3 linked regions of the Macaca mulatta genome follow. The protein of the gene in region 3 purifies or fractionates together with the protein of the main gene of each other region. This does not show direct contact. Links are inferred from orthologs where the notes say so. Each region holds a gene or a part of one and is shown on either strand. Other genes may lie near its edges.

Region 1 (10,893 bases), on a different chromosome or scaffold from region 3:
CCCATTTACTGATGTTTGAACTTGTCAAGCTATAAAAGCTTGATCTCTCACTATCCCAAAGAACACTTGAAAGCTATTCAGAAAAGAAAAAGAAGTCAAATTCATAGATTAAGTTCTAATGTTAAGGAAATATTGTTTTAAAACTCAAATTTCACATATGTGATTAGTAATCCTAGCAGAATTCTTCCTTTGGGATTTAAAGAAAGGAGTAATCCTGGGCCAGGTGTGCTGTCTTACCCCGGCAATCCTAGTACTTTGAGAGGCTGAGGCAGGTGGATTGCCTGAGCTCAGGAGTTCAAGACCACCCTGGGCAACATGGTGAAACCTCATCTCCACTAAAATACAAAAAAGTAGCCGGGTGTGGTGGCACACGCCTATAGTCCCAGCTACTTGGGAGACTGAGGCAGGAGAATCACTTGAATCCAGGAGGCAGAGGTTGCAGAGGTGCCGAGATCGCACCATTGTACTTCAGCCTGCTGACAGAGTGAGACACCATCTCAACAACAACAGCAGAAGTGATCCTGAAATAGAGTTTGAGGGCAACGTTGGACTCTAGAGGAAGAAGGATACAGGCGGAAGGCCCAGGAGGAGCAGAGCTGAAAGGTGGGAAAGTTACAGCGTCTTTAGAGAATAAGAAGTCATCCTCTAACATCGGAATGTAGATGACAAGTCAAAAAGAAGCAAAAATAAGGATTTTTTGAAAAATGAGGCCAGGTGTGGTGGCTCATGCTTATAATTCCAACAGTTTGGGATACCAAGGAGGGAGGCTCACTTGAGCTCAGGAGCTTGAGACCAGCCTGGGCAACATAGTGAGACCATGTCTCTATTTTTAAAAATAAATAAAAATAAAAAATAATGAAAAATCAGGGACATACAGCAGAGAGTGTTGAATGTGAATTTGTAAGTGTAGCAAGCCAGGGAGATATTATCAATAGCTTCTGAACACAGAATTGTGTTCGAATGCATTTGGCAGAATGTATGTAGTCATACACAAGAGTATTATTTTGCCTTTTCAGTATATGCTTAATCATGAAGTATAGGTATTTGGCTTTTTAAAGCTGGATATACATGATTGCTTTGTGTTAAAACCCATCAGTGATGGGGCAGAAAGGTCAACAGCAAGCAAACTGAGCAGGTACCAGGAACTTAGGTGAAATTTATCAAGAATATAGGTTAGGGCATAACATCAAAAGCAGAAAGATGGGGATGGAAACCAGACTAGACAGAAGTTAAATCTACAGCACCTGGTAAATAACTAGTTTGCTATAGAAGGAGAGCGAGACACAAAAAATAACAAGGTTTTATACCTGGGTCACTGAGAAAAAGTGATGGTGCTCTTAACAAAAACAGAGCAAAAGAGAAATGAGTTTTATAGGGGTGAGCAGTCAATAGGAGAGATGAAAGAATACAATAAATTTGTTTTTAAACATGTTAAGTTTAGGTTTAAAGAACATTCAAGGAAGCAGGTGATGATAATTATCTGAAACAAGAGGGAAACAGCACAGTAAAAAGAGCAGGCCTGGGTATGATTCCCAGCTCTGCCACTCAGCAGTTACACACCTTCCCGCTGAGGGTGCTTCCTCATCTGTAAACTGGAGGGAAAGTGCACTATCTTACAGGTTGTCACAATGATTACACAATATGAATATAACAACTACAGAGCACCGAGCAGTGAGTAGATGGTCCATAAATATTAGTTCCCATCATCCTCCCTTCACTATACTAGAGTATGGGGCAGAGAAATCCAACCAACAGATCTAGATTTCAGTCATCCACACAGACAGCTGGAGGCATGGCAGTAGAGACACGCTTCCGGTTAAATCTAAAAAGTCAAATTAATCTTTAAGAAACACATTTTAAATTTTACATAATAGTTTTAGTTCCAAAAATGTTCTTGTGAGATAATCTGATTTAAAGATATTAGTGTTACAAGTTATGGGAGAAGGTTAGTATGAACTCATTTCATCATAATAAAAATAGTTCACTAAAAAGATCAAAGGTTCTATTTTGCATAAACTATTGTCCATATGGAGGCAACACTAACTTCAGAGCATACTTTCAACTTACTGATTTAACTAAGAAATAAGCTTGTAAAATAGTTATTTTATAAACTTACTGTGAGATCACTACTAGGAGATAAAATTCCAAAAAGAGAGGAAACCTTTCGACCAATTCCTGAAAGCACGCCTTGCCCCTGAGGCAGGACATGCTGATGAATCTTTCCTGAGCTCTCAGGTATCAACCGAATTAGTTGGCTTCCCGACGAGGACAAAATAAAACTTCCTCCCTGTGAAAAAATAGGAGATTAGTTCAGTTTAGCATCTAATGCTGAGATAAAGAAAGCTAACAAAAAATTCTTTGATACAGAGAAAAATCATTGTAATTGAAATAAATCTAAAAGAATACAAAATAGAATGTTGTTATTTTATTAAAGTAATACATTTCAGAATCCATTCAGTTGATATCATTAATCCTACATAGAAAAACTCTCTAAGAAAAAAGAAAAACTGGCCGGGCATGGTGGCTCACACCTGTTATCCCAGCACTTTGGGAGCCCAAGGTGGGTGGATCACTCGAGGTCAGGAGATTGAGACCATCCTGGCCAACAGGGTGAAACCCCGTCTCTGTTAAAAATACAAAAATTAGCTGGGTATGGCGGCACGCACCTGTAATCCCAGCCACTTGGGAGGCTGAGGCACAAGAATTGCTTGAACCCACGAGGCAGAGGTTGCAGTGAGCTGAGATTGCACACCGTTGCACTCCAGTCTGGGTGACAGAGTAAAACTGTGTCTTGAAAAAAGAAAAAAAAAAAAAGAAAAAAAACACAAAACTTCTGTAGCAGAAAAAAAGTCCATGTTTTTTAAATTCTGATTTTTAAACTACAAGCTCATATTTCAGATTCAACAAATTAGGTTATCAGATTTTATTTTTATTTATATTTTTTGTCTGCTATTTTATCAGAGACAGGGTCTCGCTCTGTCACCCAGGCTGAAGTGCATTGGTGAGATCATAGTTCACTGCAGCCTCAATCTCCTGGGCTCAAGAGATCCTCTTGCCTCAGCCTCCTGAGCAGCTGGGACTACAGGCACACATCACCACGTCCAGATAATTTTCAAATTTTTTTGTAGAGACAAAGTTTCGCTATGTGGCACAGGCTAGTCTTGAACTCCTGGCCTCAAACAATCCTTCCACTTCAGCTACCCAAAGTGGTGAGATTACAGGCATGAGCCACCATGCTCAGCCAGATTTTGTTTCTTTGTGAACCTACAAAGAAGATAATGCAAACTATTCTTTATAGTGTCTGATGGTGGCTTAAAAACAAGCCACTCTCATAAAATGTTTCTAAAAGAAATGCATATCACAAACTACTATCTGAAATTGGTATTTTAGAGCCCTGTGAGAAGAGCCTCCCTCGTCTAACTGTTCAGATCATAGATCCTTACATTCTTCTCTTCCTTGTCTCTTTTTGATTCCTCCCTGGTCTCTACAGTCTCTTCAAAACTCCACATTTTCAGTCATCAAATCTCATTTCTACAGCTGGGTGCAGTGGCTCATGCTTGTAATCCCAGTATTTTGGGAGGCCAAAGCAGGAGTTATTGCTTGAGCCCAGGAGTTTGAGAATTGCCTGGGCAACATAAGGAGATCTGGTCTCTATTTTAAAAAATAAATAAAAATCTCATTTCCAAGCCAAATCACAGCTTTCCAATAAATATAAAGGAATATCCATGGTATACCTGCACTGCTGTTAGGAAACTGTAAGTCTTATCACCTCCTGAATCAACAAAAGTCTCTGTGTAGGTATCTTCACTAGCAAGGCTTGACCAATAGCGGATGGATCCTTCTCTGGTGGCAACCATGACAGCAACAGCCTCAAAACAAGATCATAACAATCGGCAATCACGATACAAGAACCCCAAAACCAGGAGTCTGATGACACTGATATGAAAAAACAGGACAATCTACTATTTGATCAAGAAAAATCAGAAATAAGAACTCACTGGGGTTTTGGTTTGCATTTCTCTAATGGCTAATAATGCTGAACATCTCTTTATGTGCTTATTTACCATCCTTATATCCTCACAAAGTGTCCGTTCAAGTCCTAGTCCCTATTTTTAAACTGCATTGTCTTATCAAGTTTTTAGAATTTTAAAAAATATTCGGGATACAAGTCCTTTACTGGATACATGATTTACAAATGTCTTCTTCCACTCTGTAGCTTGTCTCCTCATTTTCTTGTCTTTGGCAAAGCAACGCTTTAAATTTTTATTTTACTTTAATTTTAATATTAATTTTATCAAACTTTTCTTTTATGGATCATGCTTTTGGTGATTTCCAAGAACTCTGTCTAATCTCAGGTCATCATGATTTTTTCCTGTTTTCTTCTAAAAGTTTTACTGTTTTACATTTAGATCTATGACCCATTTCAAATTAATCTTTATAACAAGGTATGAGGTTTAAGGGAAAATTCAATACAATACAAATTGGTCATCTGTAATTTTAAAATTACAAATGTTCCTACACTATGCATTGATACAGAGAAAAGTCATCGTAAAAGACCATCCTTTCTGAATTGCTTCTGCACCTTCATCAAAGATCAAATTGGCGCCTTTATGTGGATCTGTAACTGTATTCTCTATTCTGTTACATTGCCCTATGTGTGTGGCTCTCTTTGCCAATACCGCAATGTCTTGATTTCTATAGCTTTATAGTTATGTCTCAAAATCAAATAGGATGATTCCTTCAACTTTGGATGTCCTTACTGTAAAAAGTTTATTTCAATAAGCTTTTAAGTCACCTACCTGAGTAGAATGTGCTTCACCTGAGGGAGCAGAGTAAGAAAGAGCCACTAAGTCGGCACTCCAGTGGAAATCACTAGATGGCAGCTGAAGTTCTTTGCAAACTGATAACTGTAGAACAAACCCAAACAGAAAATCTTTCACATCAAATCCAGTATTTTGAAGATGCATCTGATTTCCCTTCCCTACATACTTTAGATTCTGACTCATTGCTGGAAACACCATTCTACAAATATTCTTTCTTCTCACATCTCCTTTTAATCAGGCTTTCAGTAATTTTAAAACAAAGTATCTTAAGAGATATTGAATCATGAAAACTTAAAGCTAGACCAAACTCTGAAGAACAACTATCCTAACCTCTTCCCCGGCTAGAAAAGTCCACTCAAGAGAAGGCTAAATAAGGTTAAGAGAAGTACTTAGGCTTCCTATGGAACTTTCCCAATCTACTATTGATTTGTTTATTTGACATTTAAAATTAGCACAAACAAACAGTAATTATACCAAGTTACCTAGGAAATATTTCTTAGACTCTCAGCCAAATATCAGGATCCCTCAGCTAACTCAGTATGTCCCCTAGGACTTCTCCCTCACCTATTACTCCTAACCCCATATACCCTTTTCTAGACAGCAGTAACACAGTTCAGCAGAAGTGAAGAGTTGAGGTAAGCAGGAGCCCTGAGTTCCAATGGAACGTGGCCAAGTGAGTAATGAGTGGTGGAAGAGAGTAGTGCATCTAAGCTGTAACGAACAGAAAAAGGTCGCTGAGGATAAGTTACTAGACATGCAAATGATAACCCACTGTTGGAAGTGGACAAGTGAAAAGTTTAACTAGCAATTAGTATCATATTTTCTTATTTTATTAAGTATTATTCAGTAGGTTCAACAAAACATAGTTCTATCTTCTCGGAAATATGCAAACTCAAAGTTCATTTGCTTATATAGGTGGCATTTAGTCTGATACTTTATTAGGCAGACGGATTAGCACAATATTCATTGAAAATTTCAATGTCTCTAATTTTATTAAATGTAAACATAGATCTTTAAAAGGGGGAAACTTTTTTCCCAATATACAAATGTGTATGCATGCTCATTATTTCACATCACTATGAAAATGCAAACCCTTAACACCTAAGTAGTTTCATATTAACTATCCTCCAACTGTAAAAAAATTACGGTAAAAATTAAAAGTCAATTGGCATTCCTCTCCTCTATCTCCTTCCAGCTCTCTGAAGAGCCATTACCTTAGTAATAGGTGACAGAGCAATCTTCCAAATAATGAGCTTCTCTTTGCACACCAGACAAGCCCATCCACCTTCATCTATGTTAACAGTCAGCTGATCATCGACTAAAGGAAAAAATGAGGTGAGTGACTAATCATATAGTATAAATCTTTATCACCACACACTTTATCAAAAAAAAAAGTAATTGGCACACTCAGAAAGGACTAATTCACAACAAATACTTTTGAATATTCCAAAATTATCAACACCAAAAACAACAAATCTATTTAACTCTGATAACCAGCTTTAGAAATATATCTAATGCCTGTAATCCCAGCACTTTGGGAGGTCAGGGTGGATGGATCACAAGGTCAGGAGATCGAGACCATCCTGGCTAATATGGTGAAACTCCATCTCTACTAAAACTACAAAAAATTAGCTGGGTGTGGTGGCACATGCCTGTAGTCCCAGCTACTCAGGAGGCTGAGGCAGGAGAATCGCTTGAATCTGGGAGGCAGAGGTTCCAGTGAGCCAAGATCGCACCACTGCACTCCAGCCTGGGCAACAGAGTCAGACTCCATCTCAAAAAAAAAGAAATATATCTAAAGGCAACAGTTGTATTTGGGACATTTAATATTCCTTAATTTTTTGTTACAAACAGACCAGATACCTTATTTCCTGTAAGTCATATTTAGGCCAGGCATGGTGGCTCAAGCTTATAAATCCCAATACTTTGGGAGGCCAACGTGGGAGGACTGCTTGAGGCCAGCCTGGGCAACAAAGTGAGACCCTATCTCTTTAAAAAAAAAAAAAAACAAAAAGAAAACAAAAAAAAACCCAGCCAGGTTTGGTGGTGCACTTCCCAGCTACTAGAGTGACCGAGGCACAGGAGGACCACTTGAGCCCAGGAGACTGAAGCTGCAGTAAACCATGATCACATCACTCCCACCTGGTCAAGAGAGCAAGACTCCACATCAAAAAATAAATAAACGGAAACAAAAACAAAAAAAGACTGGGCGAGGTGGCTCACGCCTGTAATCCCAGCACTTTGGGAGGCCAAGGTGGGCAGATCATGAGGTCAGGAGTTTGAGACCAGCCTGGCCAACATGATGAAAACCTGTCTCTACCAAAAACAGAAAAAAAAAAGTAGCCGGGTGTGGTGGCGTGCACCTGTAATCCCAGCTACTCTAGAGGCTGAGGTAGGAGAATGGTTTGAACCTGGGAGGCAGAGGATGCAATGAGCCAAGATCGCACCACTGCACTCCAGCCTGGGCAATAGAGCGAGGCTCTATCTCAAAACAAACAAACAAACAAAAAAGAAATATTTAGCAACATTTATATCGATAAATAATAAACTCATTAACTATATAAAACATTTCAAGGAAAATAATGTTCCTTCAAACACACATAATTTTCAAATAAGAGCTCCTTAAAGAAATGATAAATTATTTATTATATGGAGACAAAGAGTTTCATTCTCTATTAAGTGACAAAACTAAATTAGCATACGTCTTAGTATTGGTGGTAAACCTCCACAAACGTGTTAACAGCCCTGGAAATTTTATTAAGTCGAACTTTGCTCTTTAAAGAAAGGTAGAAGGGCGAAGTAAAAGGCACAATGTACAAGCGAAAATATCAAACCAAGCCCAGGCTGAGTGAGGACTTTTTGCTCAACTGAACTATCTGCTCAGTAATTTCCTTTTTCTTGAAAGCACTACAACGACTCCAGATCTTCAACTGGTGTGCCCTTAAGGGCTGACTTAACAGTAGTTGGCAGGTTTCTAAGTGCGGAAGAGTTCTTCAAGTTGACATATCTCTTTGTTTTATATATTCGGACTCCTAGGGACTCTGAATTTCTAGATATGGGGCTGTGTTATTTAATCTAGTCTGTTAAAATAGCAGGAGTACATTAAAAGGTTTAAATGTAATTTAAAATGAAATTTTTAGAGGAGAAAAATATACATATATATATACACAATATGTATATTTATTTAAAACAGAACAATGTATATAGAGGTTGGTAGTTTAGTTGTCTGAAAACAACTATCCCTAAAGCTCCCAAGGACCTATAGGCAAGATGTGCAAGTTCCAGCTGATGAGATATATTCCTTCTTCTAAAACAGAGTACTTTCAGCTTTTTTTTTTTTACTGTCAACAGTAATATATACAGTAAATAGAGTTATTCACAGTGTAATACATTTTACATCATGATACACCCATATACAATTTAAGTAAAACAAACAAAAATTTACTAAACATTATATGAGATGCATTCTATTTCTTCTTTTTTTAAATGCTGGTCAAGAACCGCTAAATTTTGGTCACTCCTACAATTTGAAAAACACTGTTCCAGAAAAATCACAAAGATCTAGAATTCAATCCTCAATAAAAATGACTTCAGCAGATATTAAGGATGCTCTGAACTTTGCTCTTTCAGTGTCATCCAACTGTTCATCTTTAAAGTTGCCTAAGCTTGTGTTGATTGTATCTGTCAAAATTCCACACTAATTCTCTGCCAACAGACTCTTCTAAAGGTACACCACCACAATGGTAACATCATAAATTTGTGCACACAGCCTCTGGGATGCTACATAGGATCCAGAAATAGAGGTAGGACTTGATTTTACTATATTATTAAACCCAATAACATAAAGTGCCAGTTTTGGGGTTTTTTTTTTAACGGTAAACTTCATAAACTTGATCAACTCTTCAAACAAGACTGAATTTTGCATATACAGTATTTCCCCCTTTTATCTGCAGTTTCAAATACCTGTGGTCAATTGCAGTCTGAAAATATTAAATGGAAAATTCAAATGAACAATTCCTAAGTTGTAAATTGCATGTTGTTCTGGGGAAAGTGATAAAAATCTCATGCTGTCCTGTCTAAAGGTTGTGAATCAACCCTTCGTGCAGCATTTCCATACTGTATACACCAAGCTTGTCCAACCCACGGCCCAGGGACACGTGTGGCCCAGGACAGCTTTGAATGCAGTCCAACACAAGTTTGTAAACTTTTTAAAACATTATGAGATTTACACACAGATCCATTTATTTATTTATTTATAGCTCATCAGCTCTTGTTAGGGTAAGTGTATTTTATGTGTGGCCCAGGGAAGCCAAAAGATTGGACACCCCTGAGACTATCCAGCTGTTTGTCACTTAGTAGCTGTCTCAGTTACCAGATCAACTGTTGCAGTAATGCAATGCTCGTATTCTTATTTAATGACCCCAAAATACAAGAGTAGTGCTGGTATATTGTTATAATTGTTCCACTTTATTAGTTATTGCTATTCATCTCTTAACTGTGCCTAATTTATAAACTAAACTTTATCATAGGAGTGTACGCATGAAAAAACACAGTATATATAGGGTTTGGTACTATACAAGGTTTCAGGCATCCACTGGGGAATCTTGGAAAATATCCCTCAAAGATAATGGAGGACTAGTGTACAGTACCTAAAACCATTAGACTTAATTTGATTGTGTTCAAATGAACTCATTCTCCTTCTCAAATTTATTATATATCTCAATTATAGTAAAAAACTAGGGCTGGGCACCGTGGCTTATGCCTGTAATCCCAGCACTTTGGGGGGCTGAGGCGGGCAGACCACGAGGTCAGGAGATCAAGATCATCCTAACACACTGAAACCCAGCCTCTACTAAAAATACAAAATATTAGTCAGGCAAGGTGGCGGGCACCTGTAGTCCCAATGACTCGGAAGGCTGAGGCAGGAGAATGGCGTGAACCCAGGAGGACGAGCTTGCAGTGAGCCGAGATCACGCCACTGCACTCCAGCCTGGGCAACAGAGCGAGACTCCGTCTCAAAAAAAAAAAAAAAGTAAAATAAAATAAAAAACTAGACAGGTGGCTGGGTGTGGTGGCTCATGCCTGTAATCCCAGCACTCTGGGAGGCCACAGTGGGCAGATTATCGGAGGTCAGGAGCTCCAGAACAGCCTGGTCAACATGGTGAAACCCCGTCTCTACTAAAAATAGAAAAAATTAGCCCGGCATGGTGGCTCACACCTATAATCCCAGCCACTTGGGAGGCTGAGGCAGGAAACTCGCTTGAACCTGGGAGGCGGTGGTTGCAGTGAGCTGAGATCGTGCCACTGGACTCTAGCCTGGGTGACAGAGTGAGACTCTGCCTCAAAAAAAAAAAAAGAAAACTAGAGAGGCTACCCATCTCTCTCCATTTACATAAAGGTATACGTGAGAAAACATAAATTTAATCTCTATGCCGCATCTAGGCTCCATCCTAAATTGCTAATATAGGTAAACGGAAAGATGACACCTACCTTCAGCCAATGTTAGCGCTTCCATGACTTTAACAGGAAGAGAAGATCCAAACGTTTTCACATCATAGTTCACAGACTCAGTTATGGAGTGGTGTGGGAACATTCGTGTTGGTGTTCCTCTAAAGAAAAAAGTCTAATTACCTTACTTATAACTTAAAATTTTCCATTATCCTAATTATTTATGTATATATTTTCACAATAAGGAGTTCTCTGAAAAAAATTAACACTGGCTCATATTTATCATGTAATTAAATGTAATATTTTTCATGTAAAAAGACAGGATTTAGGAAAACTAGGCTTCAATTCCATATGCTCTAGTAATAAAATGCATGCCTGTATTCACCTAAACTCCTTATAATTCTGCCTCTTTAGCTGTGAAATAAGGCTTAACTAGACCAGTGTTTTTTTCAAACAGTGGGTCGTTTTGCAGATCTCAATCAATATTTTTGAAAGACAGAATATAAAACATCAGCTTTTACCATATGTTGTGGTCAAATATATTTTACAAATATTGGCTTAGATGAGATTTACGTTCTCATTTGGCTTTAGGGTTTTAAGAATCTACCAGATCTGGCTGGGG
Region 2 (10,893 bases), on a different chromosome or scaffold from region 3:
TTACTCTTCTTCCATTTTGTAACTTACCCGTAACACTTACACATTTTAGCAAGCTTAAATATTTATAGCTTTGTTATCAAGGTCAGAGCTTTACAGGATATGAACTAATTTAAACAGCCAACTAAATTAAGAAAATCTTGAGACATGGAATGCTGACATTAATTTACATGCACAATTTTAGTAAAATTTTAATGGCTTCTCTTAATAGTGTGTGTCCAAATTTTGATTTGAAGGAAACTAAGCCATGGAATAAATAACACCATAAAAATATACAAATGTATATAAGAAACATTTATCTCTTTAGTGACTATGAATTAAAAACTTATAAAAAAGTGTTTCCATCTTACTTCCAAATTGTAAATGAAACAATACCAAATGCTTAACCTGGCTACAACTGTACAGTCAAGTTCCTTCATTTTACTATTACTACTTTACTAATTCACTCCTTTACTAATATTCTTTAAATACTACAAGGAAATGACAGAGTTGTACTGAATGTCATGTATAAAGCAATTCTACAAAAAGTAAATCACTCAAAACAATCTTTATAAAAAATATTTATTCAATCTTCAAATTAAAATTATAAAAGTTCATTTTAAGCTGTTTTAAGAAAGCAAAAGAAATATGTCTATATTTTCCAAATGAAGTAAAGTGATATTTCCCCTCCTCCCAACTACTTAGATAAGAATGGTAACAACCCTTTTAATCTTTAAACCCAAATTAGTTTCAGGAATATTTCAAAAAATTGTTTTGGTGACAATGTCTCAACAGAAAGCCTCTCCATTTATATTTCAAAAGTTTCAAATAGTGTCAATAAACTGACTAGTACAAAAAAATATACACTGTATTTTTAAAGGCCTTTAGGATTGCGTTTAGTAGTAAGCAGGCTGCTGGTGTATCTTGGGAGAGGTCAAACGGCGCTGGGGAAGGGGAAGAGGAGCTCGCTTTCCATTCCTGTGTGCATGCAACAAGCAGCAAAACAGCAAAGCTACTCCAGTTAGCTTGTACTCAGCTGTGCTTTCTGTTAAAGGACATAATACAAATGGAAAAGGGAAATGCATCACAGATCTAACACAGATGGTTATCGGCACAATAAGAATACAGATCAAAAAACAGAAGCTATTTACAAAAGAAAATACGCAGTACAGGCAGTGACCAAGAACCAGCCTTAAAAAATCAACTCTACTTATTTGTTTCATGAAATAATCTTTATAATCTGGTATCTTCCACGGTAACCTGAAATCGTTCTGATGCACATACTTAAAACCTCGAAATCAAAAGCAGGACTTCTTTATAAAAACATAACGATATAAAAATAGCTGAAATTTTAAATACAATTTTCTTATTTTATTTAGGATAACAACAGGACAGTCCATTAGGCTGTGTTTTGACGTTTCCTGAATTCTATCCCAAATTATTCACAAAGACATATTAAAATAATTTTATCTTACAAATTCACATATTTAAAATTTGAACATGAAAACAAAAGGATGACTCTTTAGATGACATCAAATATTCCTTATTATGATACACAAGAATGTAACATACGCTAACTATTCTAAAAATCAATCTCAGGTTTTATTATTTCCTCTTATTTCCATTAAACTTTAAACACAAAAGCCAAATAATTTAATGTACTCTCTTCTAAAAAGCCTTAATAAATGTATTTTATTTAAAACTGCAGTTTGACCTAATGCAAAGACCACACTACAAGCAGTGAAAAACACTAATGTTCATTTGGACTAAAACCCTCACTATTAAACCAGATAACCTTCCTCTCACTGTTGCAGAAGTGAAGTTGAATCTTAAACCTGTAACATTTCTACCGATAGACCACTAAAGCTTCAGAATATAATGTAATGACCTCATAACCTACCTGCAAATGTTATGACCAAGTAAGCCAAATACAGAGGTAACGAAATGAACTCTTAAATGCTAATATAATCACATGTGAACATTTCCACTCCATCTTATAATCCAGGAAATAATCCACCTTAAGTAGAGCTACCAGAATGATTTAAAACAAAGAGAATTTCCAGTTTTCCCATGAACAGCCTACCTGCCAGCAGAAGATCCATTTAATGAATTCTGAAGACTTGGAATATTTGAACCTAGGGAAGGATTTGAGTTTCCCTGCTGAGAACTCCCATTGACTGGGCTCCCATTACCTTTCAAAATACCAGTACACTTCCAATTGTCCATATAATTAGCTGAAAGGAAAATAATCAAATACATTAACGTGATTAATACCAATGCCTAAGGGCACAAATCCGTACCCATGTCCTTAAACTACAATTAAAGAAATGAGGGAGAGGCTAGGGGCTACATTTCTTTCAGGATAAACATTAAAGACACTTTTTAAATGGAAGACATATTGTCTTAGTTTTAACAAATTTTTAGAAGTTTTCAAAGTATCAATAACTTTAAAAATATAAAGCTTTCACCACCCATGTTACAGATAATAGCAGAGACAATTTTCTGAGCTACCGTATTATCACATTATGAAATTAATATTAAAATCTCCATTATAATATTAAAGTCTTCATTATAATGAATTTCACTTACATATGTAAGGTAATGAAATTGTCTTCTTAATTATGCAAGTATAAGTTGTATGGGTACCTAATGTCTTCTGAAATGGATGGAGATTGAGTGGCTTATCCAAAATGGCCTTATTAGTTTGAATGCAAAATTGGTCTCTGAAGACAATGAGCCCAAGAAAATCAAGTTAGGCAGCCTGCTGGGGAGCATGGCAAGGTGGTCCAGACTAAAGCCCAGAGGCAGAAAAGGACAACAAAGCCCTTGAAATCAAATTACACTGAAGAAAGGAAGGTCTGAGCTGGTTTTGCCAAAGCCCAAAATCGAACATGGGAGGCCCTCAAGCTTACCCAAACTGCACTTTGGGAAACAGTAACTGCTAAAGAGTAAATAAACTAAGACAGCTATAATTTTGAATGCTAAGTATGGGACACCATTCATTATGGTGGTGCACAAATCACAGAAATCTCTGCCCAACAGATAATCATCCAAAAAGCAGTGCAGAACCACGCTACAGAGACCACAGTCAGTGTCAACTGTCCAGACCTTCTCACTCAGCCTGGCACTTATAAAAAGCTTACAATCAGGGCCCCAAGGCTCTTAACGTTTGCACAAAGCAGGGAAGATACTGGATTTTCTCCTATTAAGGACTGATTGTCTAAAGTAATCTATTTGATAAAATAAGAGCGACTATAGTCCTAGCCTGAGTCTGTAGAGCAGTCAAGTAAGGTACATATATGACAACTGGTATCTTTTTACTGGAGATACTGCATATTCTGTAGTAATTACTTTAGTTTTAAAAGTTGCTCTGTTCCATATAACTTGAAAAACAATTCAGTGATTAACTGCTATGAACTAGGTAAACTGATGTTCGAAATAACATAAATTAATATGACATTAAAAGTAACCGTAAAAGACCATTTTTAAAAAATATTTCAGAGTTTACATTTTTAAGTAAAAACTCCAGAGCAGAAATATAAACCAACAATTACCCCTCCACTGAAATCTTACCTTTCCACAATCTTACACAGCCATCATCTCCTGAAGATGCTAGCACTGTTCCTGTTATATTCCAACTCACTCGCCAGACCTGAGAATTATGATTATCAAACTGAGCCACTATATGGATTTCAAACTTTGTTGGCCCACCAGAGGAAGTCAGTTCTTTCCTGTTAATAAAAAACATTTTCTGAGGCATTCTAAGCAAAGTTTTAAAATACACACACACACACATATAAAATTCTAAATTAGTACAAGTGGTCTCACCACCACATCACTTTATAATAATGTACTCATCTGCATAAACCCCACCCTTGGCCCTTGAGCTGGGCCAATGTCATTTCCATTTAACTCGCCAAGGCCTGGAGTGATCCCAGCACATAAACGATATTCAGTGACTGTTTCATGGAAGAAAGAAACAACAAAACAGGATGATTTTATTCTCCCACACAAGGCCGAGGAATAAAACAGATGACAATAATTAATTTTAAAAGGCAGGGCAAGGCCAAGTGCAGTGGCTCACACCTGTAATCCCAGCACTTTGGGAGGCCAAGATGGACAGATCACTTGAGGACAGGAGTTCAAGATCAGCCTGGCCAACATGGCGAAACCCCGTCCCTACTAAAAATACAAAATAAAAAATTAGCCAGGCGTGGTGGCGGGCACCTGTAGTCCCAGCTACTCAGGAGGCTGAGGCATAAGAATTGCTTGAACCTGGCAGGTAGAGGTTGCACTGAGCCAAGATCATGTCACTGCCCTCCAGCCTGGGCAATGAAGCGAGATCTTGCCTCAAAAAAAAAAAAAAAAAAAAAAAAGGGCAGGGCAGCAAGTAGGAAAGAATGAAAGAACAGAAAGAAAAGAACTGGAATTCACAATTCAAAATTAAAGTTAAATATGTTATTCACAAGACTGTATCAATACTAATTTAGTTTTCCCTAAATAGACTGCCACTTGTCATTAAATATTTATAGAATATCAGTTATATTGGGAGAATTGTTAGTATTAGCCTAAATAAAGCACAATTAAGAGAATATAAATCTACTCTTTACTCAATTCCTCTTTCCAAAAAGACATATATTTATATATAAAATGTTCATTCAATAATCCATTCTTCAAAAATGACATTAATTTAAAAGTAATTGTAAAAGACCATTTTTTAAAAATATTTCAGAGTTTACATTTTTAAGTAAAACTTCCAGAGCAGAAATATAAACCAAATCATAGTTACCTCTACTCTCTCCTCCACAAACAAAGGTAATCAGGAGGCAAGAGTATTTTCAAATTCATAAATGCTTCGAAAACTCACCTCACAGGTTTTAATGTAAAAATTCTCACATCTTTGGTTGCTATTGCTAGAATATGGAAAGATCTTCCCAAGTTTGGAGCGAATGCAATATCATGAACGGGATCAGTGACTGTCATAAGAGTTTCAGCTTTTGCATATTTCCTAATGGAAAAACAAACAATTTAAACATTTTAGAAATAAAATGTACAAAGATGCACACATCACTGCATCGCACCTTTTTCATACTGCTCACAGTCATGTAGCGCTCACCTCTGTAGTGGGCTCAACAGTGGTCCTGACCCCCAGAACCTGTGAACGTAACCTTATTCAAAAAAGGTCTTTGAAAACGTAATTAAGGACCTCAGAATGACATCCTAGATTTAGGGTGGGTCCTAAATCCAATGTGCAGTAAGTATCCTTAAAAAAGAAGAGGAGAGACGTAGAGACACAGAGGAGGCGGCCATGTGAACACAGAGGCAGAGATTGGAGTCTTGCTGCCACAAGGCAAAGAACTGGAGCCAGCAGGAGCTGGACTAGACCAGGAAGGATTCCAGAGGAAGCACAGCCCCGCCGACACCTCGATTTCAGACTTCCGGCCTCCAGAACTGAGGGAATACATTCTGTGTTAAGACACCTGATTTGTGGTAATTTGTTATGGTAGCCCTAGGAAATTAATACAACCTCCCATGTTTCCTCCTCTGATAATGTACACTGAGCTTGAAATGGTTTAATAAAAATTTAACTAGAATAAGGTCTTGGCTGGCCACAGTGGCTCACACCTGTAATCCCAGCATTTTGGGAGGCTGAAGTGGAAGAAATGCTTCAACCCAGTAGTTCAAGACCAGCCTGGGCAACACAGCAAGACCCCACCTCTACACAAAACACAAAAATAGCTGGGCGTGGTGGTGCACACCCGTAGTCCCAGCTGCTTAGGAGGCTGAGGTGGGAGGATGGCTTGAGCCCAGGAGGCAGAGATTGCAGTGAGCTGAGATTACACCACTGCACTCCAGCCTGGGCAACAGAGTGAGGCTCTGTTGCAAAAAAAAAAAAAAGAAACCCGAGATGGCTGCACTCTTGCTGAGACGTGTTGGTTGTCATTACCTCCAAGCCCACTTTGGCCCTCAGCTCTGTATCAGAAATGCTGTTCCCGTGGGAACCACGGCAAAAGAAGAGATAAGAGCGGTTCTGGAATAATAATATAGGTTCACACCGTCCTGTGTCTCCCCACATCACTATCTACAGCTGGTCTCTTCCCGTGGTGATGTCCATCTGCTGCCGCGGCACTGGTATTGCTTTCAGTGCAGGAGTCTCTCTTTTTGGCACGCCGGCCCTGTTACTCCCCGGGAACTTTGAGTCTTATTTGGAACTCGTGAAGTCCCTGTGTCTGGGGCCAGCACTGATCCACACAGCTAAGTCTGCACTCGTCTTCCCTCTCACGTATCACACCTGGAATGGGATCCGACACTTGATGTGGGACCTAGGAAAAGGCCTCAAGATTCCCCACGTATACCAGTCTGGAGTGGCTGTCCTGGTTCTTACTGTGTTGTCCTCTATGGGGCTGGCAGCCATGTGAAGAACGGAGGTTCCCAGCATCATCTTCCTACACGTTACATTCACCCATCTTTCTGTTTGTCATTCCTATCTCCAGCCTGGGAAAAGTTCTCCTTATTTGTTTAGATCCTTTTGTACTTTCAGATCCCCGCGGAGCAGTAGACTACCTTGTAGATTATAATCGTGGAAAAGGGTCTAGTTTTCCCCTTGTTTCTAAAAATGGGGTGGCTGCAAAAACTCCCCTTTTTTGCCCACAGCTTGCCTACTCTCGGCCTAGCAGCAGTTATTCTCTCTCCATACTGGGCTTTGATTTGTGCTGAGGGTCAGCTCTTGGCTCCTTCTTCTGAAACAGTGGAAACAATGCCAGCTCTGTGGCTTCTGCCCTGGGGATGGGGGATGAGGCTTTGGGTGCCACTGCCTGTGGGCTGCTGGCTTAAAGGACAATTCTGGTCTTTGCTGAGAGCCCAGGCCATTAACACCTACGCAGTGTTAATGAAAGAAGAGAAGTGGTGGGAGGGGAATTAGTCTGTCCCAGCTAGAGGGAGATAAAGAGGGCTACTTAGTTCTTGGAGCAGCTGCTTGTGAGGAGAAAATATATAGCTTTTGACACAAGAAGAAAATCCAGAAAATTATCACTGAACATATTGTTATTTCTTTTTCTTGGATTTCCAGAACAGCTTCTTAATTTTATACTTTCTCATCAAAGTCATGTACCATTTTTTGAAACTGAATTAAAATACTCATTTAAAAAAAAAAAGGAATAAGGTCTTGATTTATTAGCCACTGACACCTTTCTTAGGAAAAGAGTAATGCATTGCCTAAGTATTTCAGTGTAAATAAAAAAGTAAAGCTGGTAACAGGAATTGAGGTTTTTTAGGTTTTCCGTTTTTTTTGAGACAGAGTTTCGCTCTTGTGCTGGAGTGCAATGGTGCGATCTCGGCTCACTGAAACCTCCGCCTCCTGGGTTCAAGTGATTCTCCTGCCTCAGCCACCTGAGTAGCTGGGATTACATGTGTGCACCACTACGCCCGGCTAATTTTGTATTTTTAGTAGAGACGGGGTTTCACCATGTTGATCAGGCTGGTCTCGAACTCCTGACCTCAGGTGATCCACCTGCCTCTGCCTCCCAAAGTGCTGGGATTACAGGCGTGAGCCACTGCGCCCAGCAGGAATTGAGTTAGGTGATAACAAAAGGAAACTATGCAAAGGCTATTTCATCTTTGCAATTCTATTTCTTTACGTAGAAACACAGAATAAGAGATAATGAAGGCAGTGGTAGATCAGAGTTTTCTACTAGGTTCTTCTAAGATTGAATATCCCGGACAGAACCGCAGCACGAAACCCTGAGTGCAGGAGACTGGGTGGAGAGATCTCCCCATCCCACCTTTCCACTACCTTCTTCTAAAATAGTGGCGCTTCCAGCGTTTTGTGCTTGACCTTCTTCTCACCCCAACATTCTTCCTAAAATATCTACCAAGCTGGTACACACCTCAAGGTTCTCTCCTTGACCTTTCTCACCCATCCAATCACCCTAAGCAATCTCATCCACATCCTTCTTCTACTGTGTGGTCTGCAGTCGCCTGGAAACTTCTGGGACATCCAGAATCTCAGCCCCTTCCCGGGGCCTACACAAGCAGAACATGCATTTTTTTTTTCTTTTTTGAGACAGAGTCTCACTCTGTCGCCCAGGCTGGAGTGCAGTGGCCGGATCTCAGCTCACTGCAAGCTCCACCTCCCAGGTCCACGCTATTCTCCTGCCTCAGCCTCTCAAGTAGCTGGGACTACAGGCGCCCGCAACCACACCCGGCTAATTTTTTTTTTTTTTTGTATTTTTTAGTAGAGACAGGGTTTTACCATGTTAGCCAGGTTTCAATCTCCTGACCTCATGATCCACCTGCCTCGGCCTCCCAAAGTGCTGGGATTACAGGCGTGAGCCACTGCGGCCGGCCAGAATACGCATTTTAATAAGATCCCCAGATGATTCACACAGACACTGAAGTTTCTACACTCATGGTTTCAGTACCTATAAACCAGTAATTCCTAAATCTATCCCCTGCAATTCAGGACCTTCTACCAAAGGCCAGAAACAGGACAGAGGGAGCTAAGAGCACACATGTTGCAGCCAAAACGTATTTGAATCCAGGCTGTAACTTGACCTTCAGCAAGAAGTTCTCCATAAAGTGGGAGTAACACCAGTACTGTGGCAGAGAGATTCTAAGAGCTCCCATGACCCGCACCTCCTGGTGGTCACGCCCTTGTAAAGGCTCCTCTCCATGAGTGTGAGTGCGGCCCATGGTTTGTTCTCTACCCAGGGGAAGGAACATGGCAAGGTGGTGGGACAACACTTGTGTGACTGCAAGGCACAAGCCTGTGACGCCTGCCTTATGAGAAGACTCTCCCGCTTTCTGGCCTTGCAGAAGCAGCTGCCACGCTGTGAGGACACAGGGAGGGTCTTGTGGCAGGAATACAAGTGCTGCCAACAACCAGGTGAGCGCCGAAGTGGACTCTTTTCCAGTCTGGCCTGACTCTCGACCCACAGACACTGAAATACCGAATCTACTGTTTCAGCCACTGGGTGATAATGCCGTCGTGCAGCAACAGACAACTAATCTCAGCTATTCTACCCATCCGCCTTTACACATTCCAACCTGGATGTTCCAAAAGCACCTCAAACGTATGTCTGAAATAAACTGTGCTGACCACATTCACTCCCCATCTCAACGAGTGGTACCACCATCGGCCAGGTCAGAAACCAAGACTCACGTGACCTACAGCTGGTGCCTCCTAGACAAGTCTCCCTGGTCCCTCTTCATCCCACGGACAGTGCACGTCCACATTCCACACCACCGTGGGCTACTGCGTTCATCCCTGCGTCCCTGCTCCCCCCTGAGTCCCTGATCCTCCCTGAGTCCCTGCTCCCCCGAGTCCCTGCTCCGAGTCCCTGCTTCCCCCCGAGTCCCTGCTCCCCCGAGTCCCTGCTCCCCCGAGTCCCTGCTCCGAGTCCCTGCTCGCCCCCGAGTCCCTGCTCCCCACCGAGTCCCTGCTCCCCTCTGAGTCCCTGCTCCCCACCGAGTCCCTGCTCCCCACCGAGTCCCTGCTCCCCACCGAGTCCCTGCTCCACCGAGTCCCTGCTCCCCCGAGTCCCTGCTCCCCCGAGTCCCTGCTCCCCTCTGAGTCCCTGCTCCCCCGAGTCCCTGCTCCCCACCGAGTCCCTGCTCCCCACCGAGTCCCTGCTCCCCCGAGTCCCTGCTCCCCCCCGAGTCCCTGCTCCCCCCGAGTCCCTGCTCCCCCCCGAGTCCCTGCTCCCCACCAAGTCCCTGCTCACCCGAGTCCCTGCTCCCCCCTGAGTCCCTGCTCCCCCCTGAGTCCCTGCTCCCCGTCCACACGGCTGCCAAAGTCAACTCCCTAAAAGGTAAATACAACCTGGTAACTCTACTGGACCCTGCGAAAGTCCAAATGCTGCCACGATGGAAACCAGATTGGCAAGCAGCACTCCCCAAAATCTGCCTGCCCTGCTGGCCTGCCCCTCCCCTGCCCCTCCCCTGCCCCTCCCCTGCCTCTCCCCTGCCCCTCCCCTGCCTCTCCCCTGCCTTAGCCTCCCCCGCCACCACCTCACCAGGCCCAACCCCGTGCCCTTGTCTTTGTTCCTGCCTCCTCTCTGCCTGCAGAACACCCTCTGTCTTTCGACTAATCTCAAACATCACCAGCTCCCACCTGACACTTCCTGCCCTGCCAGTCAGGTATGTGCTGCCATCTCTAGCAGGTCACCATCCTCGTCCATATCCTAGGTGCTGTGAGCTCCTTCAGCTCTTAATACAGTCCCTGCTGCTTATGAAATGTTGAAAAAGTGAGATTTTTTTTCTTACCTGAGGCAAGCTATATATTGTAATTAATTAAGGTGGTCGGGCACAGTGGCTCATGCCTGTAATCCCAACACTCTGGGAGACAGAGGCAGGAGGATCACCTGAGGGTGGGAGTTCAAGACCAGTCTGACCAACACGGAGAAACCGCGTCTCCACTAAAAATACAAAAATAGCTGGGTGTGGTGGCGCACGCCTGTGATCCCAACTACTCGGGAGGCTGAGGCAGGAGAATCGCTTGAACTGGGGCGGCGGAGGTTACGGTGAGCCAAGATCGTGCCATTGCACTGCAGCCTGGGCAACAAGAGCGAAACTTCGCCTCAAAAAAAAATAAAAATAAAAATTAAGGTTATCTAAAGCTTCTCCTATCAGGAGGAGCCAAATAAGATCCTCAATGAGAGTGTATATGAAAGGAATGAACAAAAAAGACTTTGTTTCTGGTCCTGACTCTGGACCTTAGACTAGCCATTCACTCTGTTGGTCTCGGTTTCCTCATTTGTAAAATAGTGTTAATGAAAATCTGTCTCCCCTACTTACAAGGTGATGGGTAGGATTCAAACTTCATAATACATATAAAAATGCCCTGTAACCTATAAAAACACATGGCACTTCTATTATCACTATCAATGCTAGATCTGTTTTAGTATTTTCACTTACAAA
Region 3 (10,893 bases):
TACAAATTTTGTGAAACTTTTGTTTATATATGTGTATATAGGTCAAAATGTCTTTCTTACTGTTGTTGAAAGCCACAGGTTGAGAGAGCTGGGAGGACAGGCGCTCTCCCAGTCCCTAATTGCACCAAATGCCTCACATTAATCATAGTAGAGCTAAAATGAAAAAAAAGAATCATACACCTCAGCATCTACCAACAACAGCACCACAGAGAAACTCACATTGTTAATTAAAACATATAATGTAAATATGGTATTGAAAGTATAAAAATTAAAGGCTTATGAAAAACTCAAGAAGGGTCAAAAGGCTATACAAGCAAGTAGTATACAGATTGTTTCCTTAAAAGATAAATTTTAATATATAGAATAAAATCCAAGATGATTTTATTATTTTTCACTTTCACAAAACTTGTGAGCATAAATGCTTCTGAATCTGACCAATGAAGTTTATATTTTGGTCCAATACATTATGAGACTAACTTGTATGATCAAGTCCAGCTTGATTATCATAAATCATAGAAGTTAACAATTTACTCTGAGAATCTGTTGTTAATATAGATGATGGATTTCCAATTTTTTCTTAGCTAAGAATTTACTTAACTTTAGCTCAGAACCAGATTCAAAATATTTTCTTTAATTAGCTGGTCATCATTTTAGGCTTAATTAGGCAAATTATTTAATACTTGATTGAAGATCATACAAAACCTCCAAAATAAATAAGAGTATGCAAAATTATTAGCCTTTGTGTACAATACAGAAAATACATGTCAGTTCTGGACCAAAATAATTGCATTAAAATACAAAAGGTGATAGGGAAGAATTAAAAGATCTGCAGTGACTGCTTTTGGTGGTCAGCTACAACAAGCCAACAACCCTCAGCTATTTTGGAAAGTGAACATGGGTCTTAATTTGCAGATAATGAATGTCTTCGGTAGTTTAAAAAAATATAAACTCTAAAAAAGCTTGTGGATCATATACAAAAGCAGCTATTTGAGACCAAGGTTCAACACCAGAAATTGTGTTAGCACCACCAGCAAGCACAGGGTCCTCTGACTCTTCCGCCCTCCTATCTTGTGCAGAATGCAGACTTGAATGTTGTACACATCATTTAGAGTTACAAAAATTGGCCTTGAGTACAGGGTTCCTGTAGGGTAGTCTTAAGCCCTAAGAGGCACCAAGCGGTTACAAAGGCTAGGTAACAATCCAGATCACAAGGTCCGACGATATAATAAATCCCGTGTTGCCTTATCAACTTTTTGCTGGTAGTCCTCCAATTTGTCAAGTATCTTCTGGGACAGCTATAAGAGAAAAGAAGGAAAACATTACAGAATAGCTCAACAATGGAAAAAGATTGAAGTTATTAATCACTTTGACTTCAACAAGCAGATTCCACCTTATAAAGATGTTAGCCACTCTGCTTCATAAAATCACCATTTGGTATAGGATTCTCCTCTGTGACCCTACTGATAAAACTAGGCCTCTCTGTTACATACAACATTTCAATCTCATTTTCTGAATGAATTTTCTAAGTATGGAAATTATACCAGTATTTCTAATAAAAGGATCACTAGCTCTTTTCTTAGAACCAGAGGTGCTGTATCTGATGTAACTAGTTATTAGCTGCCAAGTGAAATAGAGAACTAATATTTTAGATAGGATCAGGAGGCACTCTATCTCACTGGTAAACAAAATAAGCCATCACTATAATGACTCTGAGCAAAGGAAACACTATTGTTTTTTATGTTAAGGCAAGCAGAGCAAATATATGACTCCTGAGAAATGTTGTTATATATGCCAACTTCCCTCAGGACAGTGATAATTTATCACACTGTATTTCTTTCTTTTTTGGGGGGTCGGGGAAATGGAGTCTCACTCTGCCGTCCAGGCTGGAGTGCAGTGGTGCAATCTCGGCTCACTGGAACATCCGCCTCCCAGGTTCAAGCGATTCTCCTGCCTCAGCCTCTCGAGTAGCTGGGATTACAGGCTCCCGCCACCATGTCCGGCTAATTTTTGTATATTTAGTAGAAACGGGGTTCCACCATGTTGGCAAAGCTGGTCTCGAACTCCTGACCTCTCAGGTGATCTGCCTGTCTCAGCCTCCCAAAGTGCTGGGATTATAGGTGTGAGCCACCGTGTCCGGCCTATCACACTGTATTTCAAGTACCTGTTTACCCTGTAGGGTCTGCCCTACCAAACTAAACCCTTGAAAGGATAGACCGACTGCTTGCCATTTGTCTCTGTATAATTAACACTTACACAGTTCCTCATTACGTTTTCTCGACCCTATTGCTTAGATCCTTTGCCTTATCTATAAAGGGATTGGGCAGTTTGCTAAGGGACAAAACTAGGCTTTTGCCCTCCCTTTCTAATCCCAGAGAATTGAAGATCAAGCTGGAAGGTGTAACTGCTGTGCAGGGGCTTACAGAAGACATCTCATGAAAGGGCTGACTTACTGCGATGTTGTGACTGTTGGCACTGTTCTCCCCCAGAGCCTGGAGAAGCTGATCAATAGAGGAGTATGGAAGCCACACCATTGGGGCTGTTGCGGACAGTGGAAACTAAAAGGAAAATGTTTACTTGAAAACAGTCTGCAAAGTGTACCATTTCTTCTGGGTAGTTGCTTTCATAGGACTCTGTAGAATAAAATGCCCTTTTTTTTTTTTTTTTGAGACGGTCTCGCTCTGTCGCTCAGGCTGAGTGCAGTGGCACGATCTCAGCTCACTGCAACATCCGCCTCCTGGGCTCAAGCGATTCTTGTGCCTCAGCCTCCCCCGAGTAGCTGGACTACAGATGTGCACCAGCATGCCTAATTTTTTTATTTTTATTTTTAGTAGAGATGGGGTTTCACCATGTTGGCCAGGCTGGTCTCGAACTCCTGGCCTCAAGTGATCCACCTGCCTTGGCCTCCCAAAGTGAGCCACTGCGCCTGGCCAAATAAAATGCTTTTTTTTTCCCCACAAGAAACTGTGTGTATACATGTGCACGCACACAATGGGAACCCTCTTTTCTCCAATTGGGAAACTTGTCATTTTTTTGGTTAAATTAAATGTATTTAAAAATTCTTGTCAGCTGGGCCTGTAATCCCAGCGTTTTGGGAGGCCAAGGTGGGCGGATCACAAGGTCAGGAGTTCGAGACCAGCCTAGCCAATATGGTGAAACCCCATCCCTACTAAAAATACAAAAATTAGCTGGGTGTGATGGCAGGCACTTGTAGTCCCAGCTACTCGGGAGGCTGAGGCTGAAGAATTGCTTGAACCCGGTAGATGGAGGTTGCAGTGAGCCGAGATCGTGCCACTGCACTCAAGCCTGGGTGACAGAGCGAGACTCCATCTTGGAAAAAACATAAAAATTAAAAAAAATAATAATAATTTCATGTCAACTTTCTCTTTTTTTGAGACAGGGTCTCACTCTGTCACTCAGGCTGGAGTGTAGTGGCATGATCACAGCTCACTGTACCCTCAACCTCCAGGGCTTATGTGATCTTCCCACCTCAGCTTCCCACATAGCTGGGACTACAGGCATGCACCACCGTGACCAGCTAATTTTTTTCTATTTTTTGTAGATATCGGTTCTATGTTGCCAAGGCTGGTCTTGAACCCCTAGGTTTAAATGATCCTCCCACCTTGACCTCCCAAAGTGCTAGGATTACAGGTGTGAGCTGTTGCACCTGGCTGATTTCATGAGGGTTGAAGCTGTAGTTAACTACACCTATTTAGACCTGGCTCTTCTATTATATTTACCATCTGTGTGAGCCTGTGATAACTTAACCTCTAAGCCTGTTCCCTCATGGGTTAAAAAATATAAAATTAAAACATCCCTCATAAGGCTGCTATAAGGATTAAATAAGAAAATGCTTGTAGAGACTTAACACAGTCCCGGCATACACACAATACCATTTTGTTTACCTCTCTCCACTGAATCCTAATGCCATATTATTTTGATAAAGATGAAATTCCTATTTTATAAACAGGAGACTAGAGACTCCTAGAGTGTCAATATTTAGTTGTATAACTACAGACAGTAATGGTTAAATACACTAATATATAATTCAATTTACTCTCAGATTCTCACCTTACATAGCATGGTAATAAAAGGAAATGCCTAGGCCGGGCGTGGTGGCTCCTGTGGGTAATTCCAGCACTTTGGGAGCCCGAGGGGGATAGATAACTTCCGGTTAGGAGTTCCGAGACAAGCCTGGCCAACATGGTGAAACCCTGTCTCTACTAAAAATATTAAAAAGTTAGCTGGATGTGGTGGCAGGTGCCTGTAATCTCAGCTACTCAGGAGGCTAAGGCAGGAGAATCACTTGAACCCAGGAGGCGGAGGCTGCAGTGAGCTAGTAAGCGGAGGTTGCACCACTGCACTCCAGCTTGGGGGCTGGGCAAGACTCGGCTAAAAAAAAATATATATATATATCTATATCTATGTCTATCTATCTATCTATATATATCTATATATACAACTATACAGATGTTCCTCAACTTATGATGGGTTTGTTTTCCAATAAACCCATTATCAGTTGAAAATATCATAGGTTGAAAATGCATATAATACACCTAACCTAATGAACATCACAGCTTAGCCTATAGCCTACTTAACCATGCTCAGCATGCTTAACATTGACCTATAAAGTTGGGCAAAATCATCTAACAGAAAGCCTACTTTATAATACACTGTTGAATATCTTGTGTAACTTATTGAATACTGTACTGCAAGTGAAAAACTAAACAGTTGTATGAGTATTTTGTTTATTTATTTATTTATTTTTGAGACAGTCTCGCTCTGTTGCCCAGGCTGGAGTGCAGTGGTGTGATCTCTGCTCACTGCAACCTCTGCCTCCCAGGTTTAAGTGATTCTCCTGCCTCGGCCTCCTGAGTAGCTGGGATTACAAGTGTACACCACCGCGTCTGGCTAATTTTTGTATTTTTAGTAGAGACGGGGCTTCACCATGTTGGCCAGGCTGGTTTCGAACTCCTGACCTCAGGCATCTGTCCGCCTCGGCCTCCCAAAGTGCTGGGATTATAGGCGTGAGTCACTGTGCCCAGCCATGAGTATTTTAAAGTATGGTTTCTCATAAACGTTCATCACTTTCAAACCATTGTAAAGTTGAAAAATCATAAGTCAAACCATTGTAAATTGGGGACCATTTGTATATGCCTACCTCAATTCCGAAGTATTGATGTCCTTTACCCAATACAGCATCCACATATTCTGACACCAAATCCACAGCTTCTTCTAAAAGGTCATAGTTTAAGTATAAACGAAGTAATTCAGCAGCGTCAACCTTCTGTGAAAAGTCGGTGATTAAGAATTTTTAGTACTGACCAAAGAACGCTGAGTGGCTGATTCCCTAACATTTGTATTTCTCAACATAATTAAACCAGTGGCTTGGTTTACTCATCTATATCTTAGGATAAGAGCTGATAACAAATCTGGGGAGTTAGGAAAAAAAAAAAGTTGAATTCCTAAGAGCCGTTACTTTTAGGCAGTTTGGGAGGCCCTATCTGTTAAATAGCCTTCTTCCCCTGTTTTATGACCTAAGACATACTTTAACTTCTTTCCACTTCAGCTTCCACAGTTGTAAAGTCAATAAACTTTTCCTGAATACTAAAGTGACAATATATTCACATAATAAGAAATATATGAATGACAAACGCAAAATAAGTTCAAAGAATCACCAACTTTAAATCTGAAGTCTCTATTTGGAAGAGCTCTATTAATTAAGTATGCTTTCTATATTCCGATTTGATCACAATCTTACCTTTACCATCTTAGCTGCCTTCCCTATTTTCTTATTTATTTATTTATTTATTTATTTCGAGACAGAGTCTGTCGCCCAGGCTGGAGGACAGTGGTGCAACCTCAGATCACTGTAACCTCCACCTCTGGAGTAGCTGAGATTACAGGCACGCACCATCACACCCAGCTAATTTTTGTATTTTTAGTGGAGATGGGGTTTCACCATGTTGGCCAGGCTGGTCTCGAACTCCTGACCTCAGGTGATCTGCCTGCCTTGGCCTCCCAAAGTGCTGGGTTTACAGGTGTGAATCACCGCGCCCGGCCTCCTTTCTACCTTAAAAAAAAAAAACTTTCCTGATTTTAACCTTTAGATTTTCTCTTTCCTTATCCTACTCAAGGTGGTTCAGATGCAGAAGTTCCCAAACTTTAGCATGCATCAAAATCAAATTAGGAGCTTCTTAAAACATAGATTTCTGGCTCCTAGCCTGAGATAATCTGATTATATAAATCTAGGATGAGGAATCTGTACTTTGAAGAAGCCTGCCATTTGAATAATTCTGATGCAGACAGTCTAAGAACCTGTGTTTGATTTTTAATAGTCAGGTGAAACAGTGGGAGTGGAGAAGGAACCAATTGGAAACTGGTTGTGCTCAATTAGTTGTGAACACCACTGCACTCAGACCAGCCATACTGTTACATTATTTGAAAAGTACTCCACCCATTCCTGTGGGTTTTTTGAGGTATGAATAGTAAATCCTGTGTCATGCATATGCTCATTGTTCTAAATATAAACTCACTGTTCAGTGAATATAATAGTAGTCATTAACCTAATTACTAACCTATGAAACTTCAAATCTAAATACACAGTAGTACTGTGGAAATGAACCTGAATTGTTCTTATGGTTTTAGCTATGATGAAAAGCTTCTCAAAGTACATAAGTCAATATGTTCCCATAAGTTATCACCCCATCTTTTTCTTTTTCTTTATATATTTTTAAATTTAAATAGAGATGGGGTTTCCCTATGTTGCCTGAGCTGGTCTCAAACTCCTGGGCTCAAGCCACCCTCCCCTGTTGGCCTCCCAATACGTGGGCATGACAGGTATGAGCCATGGCAGTCATATTTTTAATCATCTCATGAAATTATCCAGAATGACAAAGAGTGGGTTCTTACTCTGTACAAGTTATAATCCACTTACCTTGTAACTGTTTATAAGCCAATTAGGTAGAGGCACTCCATGAGACAAGAGCTTGTTGATTACACAGTGGTGATACAAGTTATTCTGGACTTTGTACCTTTCCAGGTAAGTTGATAATAGTCGCCATGCTTCATCTGTAGCACTTGAAAAAACCAAAAATGACTAATGAGTTTCAGATTCTTAATAGCTATTTTGAGTACCATTCAAAGCATGTATTTACTAGGAAAACTTTGTTTTGAGACAGGGTCTTGCTCTGTCACCCAGGCTGGAGTGCAGGGGTGTGATCTCAGCTCACTGCAGCCTCTGCCCCAGATTCTCCCATTTTAGCTTCCTAAATAGATGGGAATACAGGCATGCACCACTATGCCTGGCTAATCTTGTTTATGTTTTGTAGAGACAAGGACTTGCTATGTTGTCCACGCTGATATTAAACTCCTGAGCTAAAGTGATCTGTAAGTGTTGGGATTACAGGCAGGAGTCACCATGCCCAGCCTTACAAGGAAAGCTTTAGACATTCACGACTGAATAATATAGCTAAATGGGAACAAATATTATTCGGGCTAATGTGACTTAGGCGATAGTACTAGAAACTAAATGTCTTGGGTTCATATATTCCTCTCCCACTAACGTATTTAGTATGTAGTAAACAAAAGTATTTAGTAAACAAATGTATTTGTTTGGCTATTAATACATAATTCATTTAACTCCTTTGTTTCTGCATTTATGAAACAAGAAAGTGGTTCAGAACACTGGTTCGCAAACCTGATCAAGCATTAGAATCATGCAGAAGTTCTAACTTAGAAGACTAGGGTGATTTCTCATAATACGTATTTTAATCAGTTATTCTGATGTGCTAATTTAGGGGTTGAAAACTAATGTCAGAGAACTTCCAAATTCTAAAATGCTATCACTCTAAAGTGCTAAGCTGTATAATACCAAGTGCAAATGCAGTTCAGAAAGGGAAGCTTACTGAGGGTTAGGGATGTTAGAGAAGGTTTCTGAAGAAGCTGAAGTACATTTACGTGGACACTAAGTGGGTGCACTGGGGAAGTATACGAACAGAGGAGATCTGAAGAAGGTATGGTGGATGATGGGGGCTGATGGGTGACAGACTGCTGAACAGCAGCTGGAGACAAGCTATAAGAAGACACTGTGGGCCGGGTGCGGTGGCTCACGCCTGTAATCCCAGCGCTTTGGGAGGCCGAGGCGGGCGGATCACAAGGTCAGGAGATCGAGACCACGGTGAAACTCCGTCTCTACTAAAAATACAAAAAATTAGCCGGGCGCGGTTGTGGGCGCCTGTAGTCCCAGCTACTCGGGAGGCTGAGGCAGAAGAATGGCGTGAATCCGGGAGGCGGAGCTTGCAGTGAGCCGAGATCGCGCCACTGCACTCCAGCCTGGGCGACAGAGCGAGACTCCGTCTCAAAAAAAAAAAAAAAAAAAAAAAAAGAAGACACTGTGACGACACCATGCAGTGACTGCTCAATGGAAGTAATGGGAGAAAAAAGGAGGATAATACTCTGAAACCAAGTAAATACAGATTTTTGCGTGTAAGATTACCCTTTCCTGATATGATACAATAAGTCTTTGAGGAGGGGGTTATGGAGGAGACATTTCATAGGCAAAGACATCCTAGTTTGGACAATAAATGACATGATGTCACCTTAATTATAAACTTTACAGCCCCTACAAAAACTTAGCCAAAAAGAAAGAAAAAAGTGAAATGATCTATGTAGGACAATTTAATCAGAGAAAGACAGTTACAGCTTTGAGAAAGGCAGAACCACCCAGAGTTGGATGAACACCAGGGCTGTACCTCGACTCCTTAGTAGTGATGACAGATGAGAGCTGATTGGCTGCTAGCCAGGCCCAGGCTTCTGCTTGTGCTGCCTCTCCTCCAAATTGCAATTTTATGCATCTGAAATGAAAATAGTTCCACACTTGAAAACTGAACGCTGAAACGTACCACTTTAATTTGATACTAAAACTAGAGAGATAAGATGAAAACTTCATCTCTAGTATTTTGCTGAATTCACTACTGGAATATTGAATCATCTCTTCCTCAAGTCACACTACTGGATACCTACAAGGACATCAGTAAGCATTAAGAGACAATTTACTTCCAAGATAAAATTAATGATGAAAAATTCTTTTCTTTTTTTTTTTGAGATGGAGTCTCACTCTGTCACCCAGGCTGGAGTGCAGTGGCGCAATCTCGGCTTACTGCAACCTCTGCCTCCCAGGTTCAAGTGATTCTCCTACCTCAGCCTTCCGAATAGTTGAGACTATAGGCGCATGCCACCATGCCTGGCTAATTTTTTGTATATTTAGTAGAGACGGGGTTGCACCATGTTAGCCAAGATGCTCTTGATCTCCTGACCTCGTGATCTGCCCGCCTTGGCTTCCCAAAGTGCTGGGATAACAGGCATGAGCCACCGCACCTAGCCTCTTTTTTTTTTTTTTTTAATTAAGATGGAGTCTCACTCTGTTGCCCAGGCTGGAGTGAAGTGGTGCAATCTCAACTCACTGTATCCTCCGTCTCCCAGACTCAAGCGATTCTCCTGCCTCAGCCTCCCAAGTAACTGGGATTACAGGCACGCACCACCTCTCCTGGTTAATTTTTGTATTTTTAGTAGAGATGGAGTTTCGTCATGTTGGCCAGGCAGGTCTCGAACTCCTGACCTCAAGTGATCTGCCCACCTTGGCCTCCCAACGTGCTGACGTTACAGGTGTACACCACTGCACCCAGCTGAAAAATTCTGAAAGTTCAAAATATTTCTAATTCACAAACTTTTTTTTTTTTTTTTTTTGAAACAGAGTCTCGCTTTGTTGCCCAGGCTCGAGTGCAGAGACGCGATCTCAGCTCACTGCAACCTCCGCCTCCCAAGTTCAAGCAATTCTTGTGCCTCAGCCTCTTGAGAGGCTGAAATTACTGTTGTGTGCCACCACACCTGGCTAATTTTTGTATTTTTAGTACAGACAGGGTTTTACCATGTTGGCCAGGCTGGTCTCAAGTGATCCACCCACCTCAGCCTCACAAAGTATTAGGATTACTGATGTGAGCCACAGTGCCTGGCCAAGAAATTCTTCTTTTTTTTTTTTTTTCCTGAGATGCAGTCTCGCTCTGTCACCCAGACTGGAGAGCAATGGCGTGATCTTGGCTTACTACAACCTCCGCCTCCCATGTTCAAGCGATTCTCCTGCCTCAGCCTCCCAAGTAGCTGGGATCACAGGCGCCCACCACTGCGCCCTGCTAATTTTTTGTATTTTTAGTAGGTACGGGGTTTCGCCATGTTGGCCAGGCTGGTCTCAAACTCCTGACCTCAGGTGATCTGCCTGCCTCTGCCTCCCAGTGCTGGGATTACAGGCATGGGCCACGGCGCCCGGCTGAAATTCTTTTTAAGAATGCTTGGATGGATTAAACAAAACACTTCTTCAAACCACAAATGGTATACAGGCTACTTGGCTTATGACGACTGCTTCACACTAAGCAAGAGGATAATATATTTGCATTAGAAAAGACTATAAAAAGATAATTTTATACATACTTGAAGGCAAGTCCTTCAAAGACTGGTGTTAAGGGAAGCTTAAAAGTCTGACAGAGTGATATGGCAGTGTCAAAGAGGCCCGCCTGAACCAAGAGAGTGACCATCTCCTCTGCTGATGAACTTCCTGTGAAAATGGAAAAAGATTATTTTGTGTAGCCAAGGCAGACACAAATGAAACCAAAGATTTTGCTTTGTTGATGAGTATCTCTGAGTAACAACCCATGCTTTATATCCATCTAGCATGCTACATACACTGCCTTGACCTAAAATGTGCTCTTAGTGCTGACAAGTCAGAGGCTTTAACTCTTGAATTCCTACCGGCAACTGCAACCGCTGATGGATCATGCTGAGCCAAAGTGAGGCGGATACGAGCCAAGGAACACTCTTTCTCCAGATCTTCCAGTTCCAGGA

Evidence for each region.
Region 1: the proteins of NUP160 (region 3) and NUP133 purify together in Homo sapiens (co-immunoprecipitation; 4 studies listed by BioGRID and IntAct, with this or other methods). This does not show direct contact. The link is inferred for Macaca mulatta from reciprocal best matches to the Homo sapiens genes NUP160 and NUP133.
Region 2: the proteins of NUP160 (region 3) and SEH1L fractionate together in Homo sapiens (co-fractionation; 3 studies listed by BioGRID and IntAct, with this or other methods). This does not show direct contact. The link is inferred for Macaca mulatta from reciprocal best matches to the Homo sapiens genes NUP160 and SEH1L.

The regions. Positions count from the first base shown.
Region 1 is NC_133406.1:19,540,088-19,550,980, reverse strand, and holds part of NUP133 (nuclear pore complex protein Nup133), read right to left. Parts: intron 10,433-10,893; coding exon 10,314-10,432; intron 6,142-10,313; coding exon 6,038-6,141; intron 4,908-6,037; coding exon 4,800-4,907; intron 3,870-4,799; coding exon 3,735-3,869; intron 2,288-3,734; coding exon 2,117-2,287; intron 74-2,116; coding exon 1-73. UniProt on the Homo sapiens protein: Involved in poly(A)+ RNA transport. Involved in nephrogenesis.
Region 2 is NC_133423.1:83,640,337-83,651,229, reverse strand, and holds part of SEH1L (nucleoporin SEH1), read right to left. Parts: intron 6,553-10,893; exon of another isoform or gene 6,500-6,552; coding exon of another isoform or gene 6,065-6,499; intron 5,962-6,064; coding exon of another isoform or gene 5,885-5,961; exon of another isoform or gene 5,752-5,884; intron 4,985-5,751; coding exon 4,844-4,984; intron 3,708-4,843; coding exon 3,550-3,707; intron 2,211-3,549; coding exon 2,060-2,210; intron 1,022-2,059; coding exon of another isoform or gene 1,009-1,021; exon of another isoform or gene 1-1,008. Other genes in the region: succinate dehydrogenase cytochrome b560 subunit, mitochondrial-like, read left to right, coding at 5,885-5,961, 6,065-6,395. UniProt on the Homo sapiens protein: Component of the Nup107-160 subcomplex of the nuclear pore complex (NPC). The Nup107-160 subcomplex is required for the assembly of a functional NPC.
Region 3 is NC_133419.1:17,799,878-17,810,770, reverse strand, and holds the end of NUP160 (nuclear pore complex protein Nup160), read right to left. Parts: coding exon 10,801-10,893; intron 10,607-10,800; coding exon 10,483-10,606; intron 8,853-10,482; coding exon 8,751-8,852; intron 7,077-8,750; coding exon 6,935-7,076; intron 5,285-6,934; coding exon 5,159-5,284; intron 2,556-5,158; coding exon 2,451-2,555; intron 1,296-2,450; coding exon 1,206-1,295; 3' UTR 333-1,205; downstream 1-332. UniProt on the Homo sapiens protein: Functions as a component of the nuclear pore complex (NPC). Involved in poly(A)+ RNA transport.